Drosophila melanogaster: one gene and its partner. The protein of the gene in region 2 interacts with the protein of the main gene of each other region in a pairwise test. Each region holds a gene or a part of one and is shown on either strand. Other genes may lie near its edges.

Evidence for each region. The genes of interacting proteins can lie anywhere in the genome.
Region 1: the proteins of robl62A (region 2) and CG10927 interact in a two-hybrid assay, tested with the Drosophila melanogaster proteins (one large-scale study listed by BioGRID).

Annotation. Positions count from the first base shown.
Region 1 is NT_033778.4:18,608,906-18,615,301, forward strand, and holds CG10927 (uncharacterized protein), read left to right. Parts: upstream 1-4,184; 5' UTR 4,185-4,221; coding exon 4,222-5,304; 3' UTR 5,305-5,335; downstream 5,336-6,396. Other genes in the region: GEFmeso (guanine nucleotide exchange factor in mesoderm), read right to left, coding at 1,776-1,827; CG42697 (uncharacterized protein), read right to left, coding at 3,103-3,173, 3,386-3,521, 3,578-3,790; mRpS28 (mitochondrial ribosomal protein S28), read right to left, coding at 5,336-5,519, 5,577-5,698, 5,760-6,038; CG5323 (uncharacterized protein), read left to right, coding at 6,256-6,342.
Region 2 is NT_037436.4:1,474,056-1,481,231, reverse strand, and holds robl62A (robl62A), read right to left. Parts: upstream 3,614-7,176; 5' UTR 3,512-3,613; coding exon 3,197-3,511; 3' UTR 2,863-3,196; downstream 1-2,862. Other genes in the region: stet (stem cell tumor), read left to right, coding at 3,945-4,175, 4,239-4,650, 4,710-5,059.

The DNA.
Region 1 (6,396 bases), on a different chromosome or scaffold from region 2:
CCAAAAAGGTTTCCTCAGATCACAATCTTTAACAATATCGAATGAACAGACTCCCGTGGTGTTTGTGGTTACGAGTGGTAATTCAACGACTTGACCTGGCACCCTGCCCCCTTGCGCTCATGCACTTGTGTCCACAGATGAAAATTTCTTATTCCCCCGTTTTGTTTGTTTGTCTGGAATTGAAGTTGACTCTGTTGTTGAAGAGGCAAACAAACACGGTGACGGAAAGGGCAAAAGAAGACGAACTGGTGACATTTGATAGTGCATGCGGTCAACTGCTGGCGATATCATTCGGCGGGTTCTATTTATAGGTCGATGCGATCGGTAATATCCTGGACATGCGGCCGACAGATGGCGTCACGTTTGCTGACCCCGCCAAATGTCAACCACTTGCACAATCGTCTATGTCTAAGCTGGTGGGATCAGCAGAACAAACCCATAAATGCCGCAACACCCCCCCATCACCTATACATGATTCATTCGCCCTACTCATGTATGTGTATATAATTGATATAACAAAGGCCACTTGCTGAATTCGCAGTGTCCGTTATCAATAATTGACGCACCATCTTAACCCGTTTTAAACTATTTTCTTCGGGCAGTTTTTTGAAGGTACTTAACTAAATTAGTTATTCTCTCTCTCTCTCTTCACACATTTGGTTTGGAATTGTGTTGGCCAAAAGATTGCTTAAATTCAGTTTTACAGTTTTAATAGAGTTACTTGCAATTAGTATGATAATACATATTACTTATTACATATACATATTACTATTGATTATTATAAGTTTGGAAACCTTCTTTGGCCTAACATGGGTTAACTAACAGAGCTACTTACAGCGCTGTTGCGCTAAGGGCGGCGTTATCTAACATCCGCTGTTAGCGGGCGTGCAATAATAATAAAGAAAGTCAACAAAAGAAACGCAGTGTCAAGACTTATGACTAATGCACTTAATTGAACGAAAGCTTTCGGTGAGAAGAAAAACAAATATGCAGCATGTGCCACAAAGTTACAAGCAAATCGGCGTTACGAATTAAGTGGGTCAGCAAACCGAATGGAGCCACCCAAAACATAAATTGCAAATCCGAAGACAGACCTTTTCTTGGCCACACTTGTATGGTAATATGTGGGTCAAAATGGCCCGAAATTATGTATTATCATTAAATTTCATTACAACCGACTTTTCGAGCGCTTAAATAATGTCGAAAAATTTCGGACTGCGCAAAAGCGGAATGCAAAAACAAAGCGAACCCGTTACACCGCAATTCACGCAATGCCACTCAGTGGGTTGTTATTTTATTTTCCCCCCACTTTTTGTACAGTTATGGGAACGGAACGGTGCCGTCGATCCACCAAATGCATTGGCCCCAGTCCCAGTCCCAGCACCAGCCGCAATCCCCATTCCATCACCATCCCCCAACCCGCCGAGCCAAAGAAAGCCAACTTGATGGTCTGTTCTTGTACGCAAGTCCATATTCGGAGTTTGGAGTTCTTGGAGAATGCGTAGTGTCTCCCACACAGGAAGAAATATAAGATCGGGACATATGTATATTATTCATAATCCTACTGTAAACATATAGTACCCTAAGCTTTTGTATGTTCTTATGCCTTCAATGACGGATTATTAAAATGTAGACTAATGTCGTCTGAAATGCTGAAAACCAATATTACTAGTCTCTATCTGTGATTGATACGTGATTTTTCCTCAGTGCACCTCCCCAGCCCGCTGAGTCATGTCATTTCTGCACGCAGAAGTTCAGTGATCCCGTTCGCTTACCAAAAAAGTCCTCCCATCTCTCCGAGGTGTCCGAATCGGATTCTATGTCCATCTTGGTCTCCTCCGGCTGCTTGATTTACGATTTCCGAGTGCGTCTGGTTTGGTTTTGGCCAGATCTGGTCCCTCGCGCCTGATCTGTCTCTAAATTTAGACGGCGATTGCAGAGCAACTGACACTGAAGGAGGTCGTTATTATCGCGACTGCTTTGGCTGCTGCATTAGATATGGCCGCAGATACAGTATCTAAAACGGGCGAATTGTGGCCAAATGACTTCACCCGGTGCAGAGCGGAAAGGCAAAGCTCAATCAATGGCTGGCCGATAAGATAAGCGCTCGATTTAACTTTAAACACTGGCACCGAACTGTGCGATTTTCTTTTCCGTTTGTTTGTCGTATATGGACGTTTTCGCAGTTTCGAGTACGAGTATCTGGCTTTATTCACCACTAGTCGCCGATATCTTATCGCGGTCTACTAAGCTCCGAGGTAAGGCAAATATCCAGCAGGTACGGAGGCATTGTGGCCAACAGCTGGTGTCCAGCGATTCGGAATGAGAATACGCGAATGTATCTCAATGTTGCGCTCAGTTCTCGGAACTTTCGGATGACTAAACCGGCTCACGGACTTCTGTCTCTGGGGTTGGGGCTTTTATTTTATTACTTTTATTTGGGCTTAGAACAAATTGTGGGGATTCTCCAAAAGCGGGCCACACAACAACCGATCGTTGATTGAATTAAAGTAATGGGCTCTTCACTTGCTATTTGCGAAACCGAAAACAAAACGAAAACACACAAATTGCAGATACAAGTATCTCGCGCTTCGCTGATTTTCCAGTTTCTCCCGTGCAAATCACCTTCGCACCGTTACTTCTAATTGCGGCAAATGGAAAACACTCTCGTCTCACATATACGACTGCACTTGCAGATACACTTGTGTATTTTCAGATATAATTTTTGATATTTTTCCTGCCGATATTTTTATTTCCTTTTTTTTTTCTTGACGGGTAGGGGGCGGTACACTGGCACACACACGCTCATTCGCAGGAACAGCTCGAGCGCTCCAGGAACGACATATCCAGCGCGCGTCTCAGAGTGAACTGACTTACTTGAAAGACACTCAAGTCGGAAGACCCGAGCACGAAGTCACCTCATACACAAATAATGGGGGGATTCGAATACAAGTTCTCTCTCTCTCTCTCGGTGCTCACAGTATTACATCCGATGCGAAGATCGCTGAGAGTTGCATAGTATGCTCATTCCAAGGCGTTCGATCTCCAACATGGTATGTTTGTATCTTCTATGCATGCAACAAGTGGAACCAACTGCAACTCCTAGCAGTCGTGGGTGCATGATCGACAGCACCACCAGGTTGAAATGATGACCCATTCGTAGTACATCTCGACTGGATAAGAGAAAAATATTATTTTAATTAAAAATCGAACGTGAATAGAATTTATGTACTTTTTAAGTCCACTACGTTTTGTTGCTTGTTTGTGTTATATGTTGTGTGTGTGTTATAGAAAGAAGTTCTCGATAGTTAATGTATTAATCTACTTCTCTATCTTCTTTTGTTTTCAGATCCAAAAGAAATTCAAAATTTTTTCACCAACTTACGTATGCTAAGAAAACCGCCCAGAAGGAGGTGCAGAGGGTCCCACAAGAGGATGTAGAAGAGCACCACAAGTGCGATGAGGAGCCCCAGGGCCGCAATACCTATAAAAAAGGACAAGAGCATGGCCCAGCACATGTCCTGTAGAACAGCGATTGGATATCTTTACAAATTTAAGGATAAAAGTATTCACTTACCCACATCGTTCCGAGGAGAAGAAGAATTTTAGCTAGGGCTTGGACAATGCCAAAGACCATTGCCATGACCACAAGCACTGTTTCCGGATTGCCCTTGATCATCTCGAATAGACCCACAGAAAAGACCATTAAAGCTAGAAGCATCCCCGTGAAGCCGATGAAGATGCAGCCAATGTAAAGCGACAAATAGCCGCAAAACAAGCGCAGACACATTTCGATGTTTCCTCTAAGTTTTGACTAGAAATCACAAGCACATATTTCACTGGAATTTTGAATTTAAACTTTGGGTATCAGACTGGGCACTGCTTACATGTAGACATCAAAAAAGATATTGGTTGTAAGGAATTATAATGCAAATTAGACAATTGATCAGATTATTGAGCTGATTAGATTAAGTATTAGGGAATGTATATCAAAAGTAGGAAATATTTGAAACAGCTCCCAAGCTAAATAGCTTTAAAGACTTTTAAACGTATAATCTTTCACTAAATTATTTTTAAATGCATATTTTAAATAGAAGACATTTTTCAAAGTTGGCGCTTAATATCCAAACAGCTGTTTCAACGCCAGCGCTTGGCACTTATCGATAACCTATTTCAATCGATTCCAATTGGCATTCTTCTAATTGAAGAATTAAGTAAATAATGGATATATCCGCGCCACCAAACAAACGTGCTCGAAAATCACCCAATCTGGATGAAGACATAACTGGGATCCGGGCCATCCTCTCCGATGAGTTCGACGAGGATATTGCGCTCATCAAGGCGCACAGTTGCGAGTTGGAGACGAAACAGCAGCTCCAGGCGGTCATCCAGGAGCTCTCACAGAAATTGCCCCACTTTCAACACCTAAAGCGCGTCCAGGATCGCAGCGTGCTCATATGTCCCAGCTCAGAGATCGGAGTGTCTCAAAGCCTGGAACAACACCTTGAACAGTTTGCCTTTTCGGAGCACGTGCTCCGTGCTTTGTGCCAGGGAGTCCGGGTGGTGGAGGTGCCGGAACGGATGCCCCGACTGCGGGTGCAGTACGAGAAGACCCTTAAGCACTGGCCCTGCAAGTTTCACCCTAATCACTACTCGGAGTCACTGAGGAATGGCAGCAACTTTAGCTCCGCACAACGCACATTTCACAAAAGGATCGGGCAATTGCTTGTGAGGCTCTCGCGGGATGTCAATGCCAATCGTCCGGTGGGCATCTGCGTGGATCCGCGACAACCCAGCATTGTGTCCATTGCTGGAACTGGTGAAGTTTGTAGGCCGCACGAGCACTGCTGCATGATGCTCGTCGATTTTGTGGCTCGCAGTCAAGAAGGAGGCGCCACAAAAACGGAGGTTACATTCACCGAAGATTTCAAGAAGGATACCACTCTGCGGGGTATTCCTAAAGCCTACTACGATTACCTGATGAACAATGAAGACTACAAAGACCTGACATTCGGAGCGGAAAAGTCGAGAGAATGCAAAGAAGTGGACGCAGTTCAAGGAGCAGATAACCTGGCCAAATTCGGACCCTATCTGTGCACCGGCTACGATATCTATCTGCTGCAGGAACCCTGCCTTATGTGCTCCATGGCCCTGGTACATAGCAGGGCGAAAAGAGTATTTTTCGTTAAGAACTCTGAAAACGGAGCTCTAGCCACGAGATTCCAACTGCATTCGGTGCGGGAACTCAACCATCACTACGAAGTGTTCCAGTTCACAACCAAGGAGGATGAAGACTTGACGTAACGTTTAACAAACCTTGGTTTTAATAAAGGATTTATAGGATATCTTCGATTTTCGGCGTTGTTTTGGCCGTCGACTGGCGGGTGGGCGTGGACAGGAGACCCAGCAAATGGCAATCTGCCTCTAGAATGGTAATATCCTTGGACGAACCCAGAAACTTGGTGGACAACTCCAAGTCCTTGATGCGCAGTCGAACACGGGCTCCTCGCACATAGTCGCTGAAGTAGGAAAGGCGGTTTATTGGATAAAGAGACAGGAAATTATATTGAACTCACCTGGCATTGCGTGTTGGACGACTGCAGACGCAGTGAAACTTCCAACCAAAGTCTATGTAGAGATCATCGCCCACCACATGAAAGATCTTGCCACTGACCACCTTGCCCTCGGCGTTGTCCAGCTGCTCCAGAAATCAACAAGTTATTACATAAACAATGGGATTACTTAAATAATGTACCCACATCAATTAATTTGGAGTTGCGCAGCAGGGAGGCGAAGGTCTGGTTGTCTTCCGGCAGCTGTGGAGGCGTGGCTGGTGCCGTGTACTTGTCGAAGGCACGGGCGAATCCTCCCTTGCTGCTGCCAATCTCCGCCGTTTCCGTATTCACTGCGGGAGTAGATTCCTCCGCCGGTTTTTCTGTGTTACCGCTGATAAGTCGAATGACCATTGGCATTCGGGAACGACAGGTTAATGAAGCCATCGGTACACCAGATCTGCTTAGTTTTTGCAAGAGCGACATGGTTTTAATTTAATATTGCTCAAAAATATCCACAAGAAAACCAAAACCAAGTGGAAAACCAAAGAAGAAGAGCGGCACCGATAGACTGCTAATCGATTATTAGCAGCTGCGTCGGCTCATCACTAATCGAATATTACAAAAAACACGCTGCCGGCATTTATTTTGATATTACGAAATCGGTTGTAAGACGTAGGTAATTAACAATTAAACAAGCAAAATGATCCAGCAACAGCGCCAGAAAATCGAGGCCGCGGTAACGGAGATGATCGACGACATGGACAAGACGCACCTGCGCAAAATGCAGGTAAGTGGAGTTCGCTTTAGGGGATATCCCGAAACTGACTTGCTTTTCACGAAA
Region 2 (7,176 bases):
ACCTGGAATGGAAATGAGTTAAGCGAGGAAGTTATGTGGTATGATTTTACGATGCTACTACTACCACACCCTCAATCAATCATCATTCGCTGGTCTGGGCGGCTGAAAGCCTGATTACCCTGTAATTAGACAGCAGGATCCGCGCAGGACCTGCCAAAAAGGGGGAAAAGCAACGAAAAAAAAAAAAAACGGGCAAATGTGAATTTAATGAGTAAAAATGTGATAATTAGACGGACCCCCGAGGAGGCCGACAAAGGACCAAGGACCGAAAAACGGGAAGCCATCCCGCATCCTTTCATCCCCGGGCTAATTACGGGACCAAGTCATTTGGCCGGACAAGTGCATCCGTCGGCAGTAATTGTCGTGTTTGTTTAAGATTCAGCCCCATATCCTTCGCTCCTCCATCTGCACCTCTTCCCAAGGAATGCAAATTGAATTAGGCCTGGCATAATATTGTCATTCAATTAGATCATCATCTGGTTGGGCTCGTGCGGTTTTACCCCGGACTCCAAGGTGTTTCGCCCGTGCAAACATCAACAGATGCTGGGTCCTCGCTCCTGGGCATGTAGAATGTGGCATTTAATAAGCTGCCAAAGAAAAACAAAGTAATTGAGTGGCAGAGTAAATTGTACAATTTCGATTAATGTAGAAATATTTGAATTGCCTGATGTTTATGAACATTGTTGTTTGTGGAAAGTTAAGTGCTTATTGCAAAAGGCTAGGGTCAATCTCGAGGATTAGATTATTCTTATATAAGTTGAGTAATCTTTTTAATTAGATTAAAATAATATTCAAATCAATACTCAGTCTTGACTTTGCCTTGCTTTTAAAAAACGTTTTACAAATATAAATATGCATAGCTTCCTTGCATGCATGGAATATAAATATCATGCTCTGCATTATAAATGTTTTTATGAATTGTCCTGTAAAATGGCTTCGGGCCTGTGTCCTTTGTGCCTCGTAGTCCAAATATTCGCTTTTGTCCTTTCATTAGCGTAACAACGAACAATGTTAATCAAATAGCTCATTTAATAGGCTGCAAACCACGAGCACGTTTTACACGGTCACCCGGAAATAAAGCCATTGGGCATGCATCATGCACCATGACCCCCGCATCATCCTCCTCCTGCTCCTCTCCTGCTCCTCTCCAGCACCTCCCGCTCCTTTTTTTTCGGCCAGTTTATAAATATTGCTCAACTGTTTGGAATAAAAATGTCAACACGCCGGGCGAGGCCGTACGCAATGCATAATAGAGGACACACAATACCTCCGAACCAACGAACCACCGATCCTGTGGACCACCGTCATCCTGCCACCGCCGGCGGAGATGTCCTTTTTTGCGCATAGCCACAGGCAGAAGGCAACAAAAAATGCGGAAAATACATGTCGCCGTGTTTGTGTGCTCCTGCTGCAACGGACGCAATTCAAAGGAATTTTTTGTGGCTCGCAGAGCGAGCGAGCGAGAGAGCCGAGCCGGCCACGTCGTCCTGTGGTCCTTCGCCTTTCGATCCCCTCACTCCTCGCTCCTGTCCTGTCCCGCTTGACCATGTCTGCCGACCCGATCCCAATCCCAATCCCAATTTCCAGCGTTAAATGTTTTGCGTCAATTTGTCGGCTTGTCCTGCAAAAGGTGAATGAAGCGAGGTTACAGCAGAGGCCAAGATAATAGTGGTAGGGTTGGTTAAAGTACATACCTGTATAGAAATTTGATCACACACAATTTCAAGTAAACTCTCTTCAATTTAATAAGTAAACTGTAATTTTAAGAGTTGCAAGTACATTTATAGGTGGCGCTCCTATTTTTTTGCTCACAACTGTGCCGTCTGCTTTTAGCACCGTTAAATGGCGGTGAAGTCGCCTACCTGGTGACGTCATGCGGCGTGCAGGACTCGGACTCCTTGCGCTGCTCTGCGCCCAGGATAATGACATTATCAGCCGCAGCAGCCAGCGTCCGCCAAACAAACGATAAGCAATCATTTGTTGGGAATACAATTTCGCCCTATTGGCCCTGTTGGCACTTTGTTGTGATCGCTTGATCTTGCCGAAAATGCGACTTGTCACACGGCCACAATGCGTGTGGGTGTTCCCATTGTTGACAACACAGATTCTCTGCGCCCTTTGTCTGCGAATCGAAACAATTTAATACCCAGAAATTGGCCCAAATCGGAAACTCGGAAGTAAAATCTGATTTCTGTTTATTTTTGATCTTAGCGCTCTAGATTCGATGATCGATCAGCTGGCGTTGTGCAACACTACTAAGCGGAATGAATGGAAATAGAACTAGGAGGATAAGAGTACAAAGCGCAGAGCGCGAATAGAAACTTCGGCACGCTGGCGGGAAAGTTGTAAATTCGGTCGTTTTTTCAATGTTAAGTGTTCATTGTGTTTAAACTTTAATCGTAATGAAAAATTTATAAGGATTATTAAGTTAATAAAGCAGGAACGCTGCTGTTTCGTTGCGTAAGTGAAATGCTCGGAGAATGTGAATAATATTACAGTTAATATGTACATAACAAAATACAAGAAAAACGGCGCTTTCCCTGGAAGGGAGTATTTAGTGCACACCCGCGCAAGAACAGAGTAGCCACCCATATGATATTCCAGTGACATAGCCTCCAGTCCTCCAGAGGAGGCTTATCAATTAAACAAAATTTGATAATTACTGCCATTAAGAGTCCGCCTAGCGCTGATTAACTAGAAGATACATAAATTCCCCCTTCCCAGACTGGCGGAAGTAACTATTTTGTGCCCTAAGGCCGTGGCTAGCTTAATTTGTGGCCTTTTTATTTTCGCAATCGTCGTAGACGAGCATTTTAATTGCGTGTAGGCTTCACTTTTAATTAAACACAATGCTTATTTTCCGCTTTTTGCGGATTTTTGCCCGCTCTGCGTTTGTTTTAATGGCTGACATCGGCATCTGTGCCAACATCTTAATTACATAATAAACATAATTTAGTTTGTCCGGTCACACGCATAAATGTTCGTTTTATAATTTTATGACTAGATTTCTTTTTTCTTTTTTGGATGGGTGGGGGGTGGGGGGTTGGTTAAACATGTACGACGATCTTCAACGAAAGCATCAACAATGAGCGAGTGAGACAGCTGTAGCGATAGTGGGTGTGTATTGGTGTTTCTCTCCCTTGTCCACCAGCAAGCAACAATGTCCAAACTGTTAACCCCTAGATGGGCTGGGGGATTACAATACCACGGTCACAGTGAAGGCTTCCTCTGGACTAACCAGGAATTCGTGCTTGCGGGTTTTCACGCGCAGAAAGCACAGCTTATCATCGGTATCCAGATCACGGACGCAGCTCTGGGCCAATTTCAGGAAACTGGCGTGCAGGTGCTTCACAATCGACTGGGCCGTGGTCAAATCGAATGAAGTGTGCAGCAGACTGTCCCCGGCATTTTCCGACACCACGAATCCCTGCGCCTGCTCCGTAATCCGGTTTGTGTTGTCCGTGTTTCGCTGCACCACATCCTCCATGGCCTTCAGATAAATTTTCGACATTTTGAAAAAGATTTGTAGTAAAACTGGAAATTAGAAATTGTCTAAAAGATTTATTTTCTAGTTATGTTTGATCCGTATTCGAGTGATGTTAGAAAGGTACTGAAGTTTTCTGTAGTCTTTGCTGATAAATTGCTGAAATTGTATCAAAAGGCTACTAAAATGGGAGAGTTTTTTGATAGGCGAAATAGTAGAAACAATTTTGAAAATTTTCTAATCACTTTCTTCTTAGCGAAGTTCTTAGTAAATGTTTTGTTATATTGCTTACTCCCGAAGTGGTGTTTATATAACGATCTTAGGGAATATACATATATTGCTATATCAATTACATCGAAAAAGGTATCGCAGTACCATAGCTAGATATGTAATTGCAGGTTATCTTTACACTTAAATATGCATCAACTATTGCTGATTAAACCTCCATACTTAATTCCAGATGAGCGGCAAGCGGACACGTAGCTTTAAGTGCGCCGTACACCATCGAGATCGTGAAGTCTGCTCCGAAAACGATTTCCAGCTGGTGCTAAACGAACCGCCACTCTTTCGCAAAATGGTGCACGCCGTGGCCATGGAGATCCTGCCCGAGGAGCGGGATCGCAAGTACTACGCCGATCGCTACACCTGCTGTCCGCCGCCTTTTTTCATCATCCTGGTTACTCTGGTGGAGGTGCGTTGAAAGTTTAAGTTCTCCTTGAACAGACCCTTGACTACTTAACTACTTTTCCCCCAGCTGGGTTTCTTTGTTTACCACTCAGTGGTCACGGGTGAGGCGGCGCCAAGGGGACCCATACCCTCGGACTCCATGTTCATCTACCGTCCCGATAAGCGTCACGAGATCTGGCGCTTCCTCTTCTACATGGTACTCCATGCCGGGTGGCTGCATCTCGGTTTTAACGTGGCAGTTCAGCTGGTTTTTGGGCTGCCACTGGAGATGGTTCATGGTTCCACGAGGATAGCCTGCATCTACTTCTCCGGGGTGCTGGCGGGAAGCCTGGGCACTAGCATCTTTGACCCGGATGTGTTCCTTGTGGGCGCCAGTGGTGGAGTATACGCTTTGCTAGCCGCCCACCTGGCCAATGTGCTTCTCAACTATCACCAGATGCGTTATGGAGTCATCAAGCTGCTTCACATTCTGGTCTTCGGTGAGTGTTTAGCCTACCGCACCTTAGTGTTGTTGTTAATACAGTTCAATTTCTTCTAGTTTCCTTCGACTTTGGCTTTGCCATCTATGCTCGCTATGCTGGCGACGAACTGCAGCTGGGATCATCGAGTGAATTCCTGGCCATAGATCAGGCGGAAACGGCGGGTGCTGTTTCGTATGTGGCCCATTTGGCTGGTGCCATTGCTGGCCTAACTATCGGGCTGCTGGTGCTCAAGAGCTTTGAGCAGAAGCTCCACGAGCAGCTGCTCTGGTGGATCGCCTTGGGAACGTACTTGGCGCTGGTGGTCTTCGCCATCGCCTTCAACATCATGAATGGATTTGCGATGTTCAATATACGCGTGGAGAAGATCCGTGTCACGGAAACCATTTTCAATGATTTCCAGGTGTGAAATCCCAGGAGGATAAGCGATAGGGATGATCAGAATTCGATCCTTGTTTCGTATTTAATTGATATTTTGCTTACATTTTGTTCATTGCGTTACATTGAAGTTTTTATTGTTTTTGGACGTCGATTAAGTTTCGCGTTTATTGTTTTGTTAACCCTATATCTGTAGGATCAGATATGAATATCTCATTGTTTGCTTACGTGTCATGCGACGTAAATTATTTTGTTTTGTTTGCTAGTTAAGTACAAACATATTGTAAGAATCGTAAGAGAATATTTACAACAAATCGAACTGATTAGGTGTAACATAATGCTCAAGGAATTACACATTTTCTACATATTATTAAGATTAACCAGAAGAACCAGAAGACTTTATATGGGAGCTAATAATGAATAAAACTCCACAAGCTGTAAATTAGAATTACAAATATATGTATATGCGTGTGCTTTAAGGACTATATGGAAACCGATATATTGGCAATGCAAGCGATTTATTCTAAATTTTACAGGCCTTATAGCAATTGAGATTACTACCTCAACAACAACTGATAAATAATATTAAATATATTCCAAAATGTTGAAGTAAATCGGTTTCAATTTGATATAGCCGAGCGTAACTGAGCACTGCCAGCTTTAAGAAATCAATTACGACCAAGCACCAACAGAGTAAAGCATAAATTTACATATTTTCTATTTACACATTTTGTTTAACTTGTAAATAAAAGTACATTTAAATTTTAAAAAAAAATGTGTTTCATGCTTGTAATTGGGGTTAAACGGGAATTTTTAGCGATTGTGGTGTGGACACACTTACACCGATCGTTAAGCACTTGTTTATTTACAGTTATAAATGTAAAAGTCGAGATGAAGCTCAAGGGTTAAAGTTTTCCAGTGGCAATGTTGCCACACGTTTTTTTTTTGCTGATCGCAGAACTTACGGTTTCAAGTGGACGCGTCGGTTTCGTTTTTCTTTCCGCGAAAATCCCATTAAATTGGCTTAAAAAGTGAGCTGGAGTGAGTTTAAACCGATTCGCGTGCTGGGTGATAAGGATTGGCCATCCGTCCTTATCATTTCCTTGAGTTATGACACAATCCGCGCGCAAAAAACTACAATTTCGTTTGGCGCAGCACGCGCACCTGGCAATCCTTCGTTTCGTTTGTTAACTTTGGCTTTTTCTGGCGTTTCTCGTTGCGTGTTTTTGGCCAGGACATTGGGAGAAACTCGGGACAGCCACTCGGAGGAGCAGTCAACAAATCCCAATCCCGGCGGACACGGAATTTATGTTTGTTTGAGCACATTTCGCCGTCAAGTCATTCGTCAGGGCTGTCGCATATTTCGCGCGGGCGCGGGGGTGTCGCCGGGAAGAAGCAGAAAATGATGGAAAAATGCGGCATGGCAAATGCAAAGCGAAATGTGACAGGAACGCAACTGAGTCCTCTTAGCGATCCTTTTGGACAGGAGCTGCTTCTATTGACGCTGATTAATGCGGCATTGGTGTTATTTCGAGGCGGTTTGGGAAAAAAATGTACAAACCTGCTCAAAGAAAGAAAAACTGGATAAAACTGGTAAGAAAATCAATGAATTCATAAAAGTTTACTAAAATAACCAATTACATTAGTGTTAGTGCATTGCTATTCCTATTGTTGCTCTAATTATTAAACAATTATATCATTGATCCCAGTAATGTTTTAATTAACTCTGTACGCAGTCTGATTAAAAACCAGAACGTAATTTGTAGCCAGCTTCTAATGCGAGAATGCTGCTCTAAGATACTTTTAGATCAGGTTTAATGTCAATAGACTAAACTTGCTGCACTGCAACTAACTTATTCCGCAGGAATGAAGCCCGTTTGGAGTAGTCTTTAGTGTATAAATCATATCAATCGAAGCCTTCCTCCGCTCGGAATTCAACATGACCAGGACGGCAATCCTCAGTTTGTGGTGCGCAAACATGTTTATAAAAAGTACAAGTTAATATTTATGTAATTCCACAGATACGAACGGGGCTGGGCGCACAAGAAGCAGAAGAAGGGCGGAGATCATTACATTGACATATTCATGCGGAATCGGAATCGGGGAATTCCAGGGAAGGCACAAACAATGGAGCACGCGACCATGTGC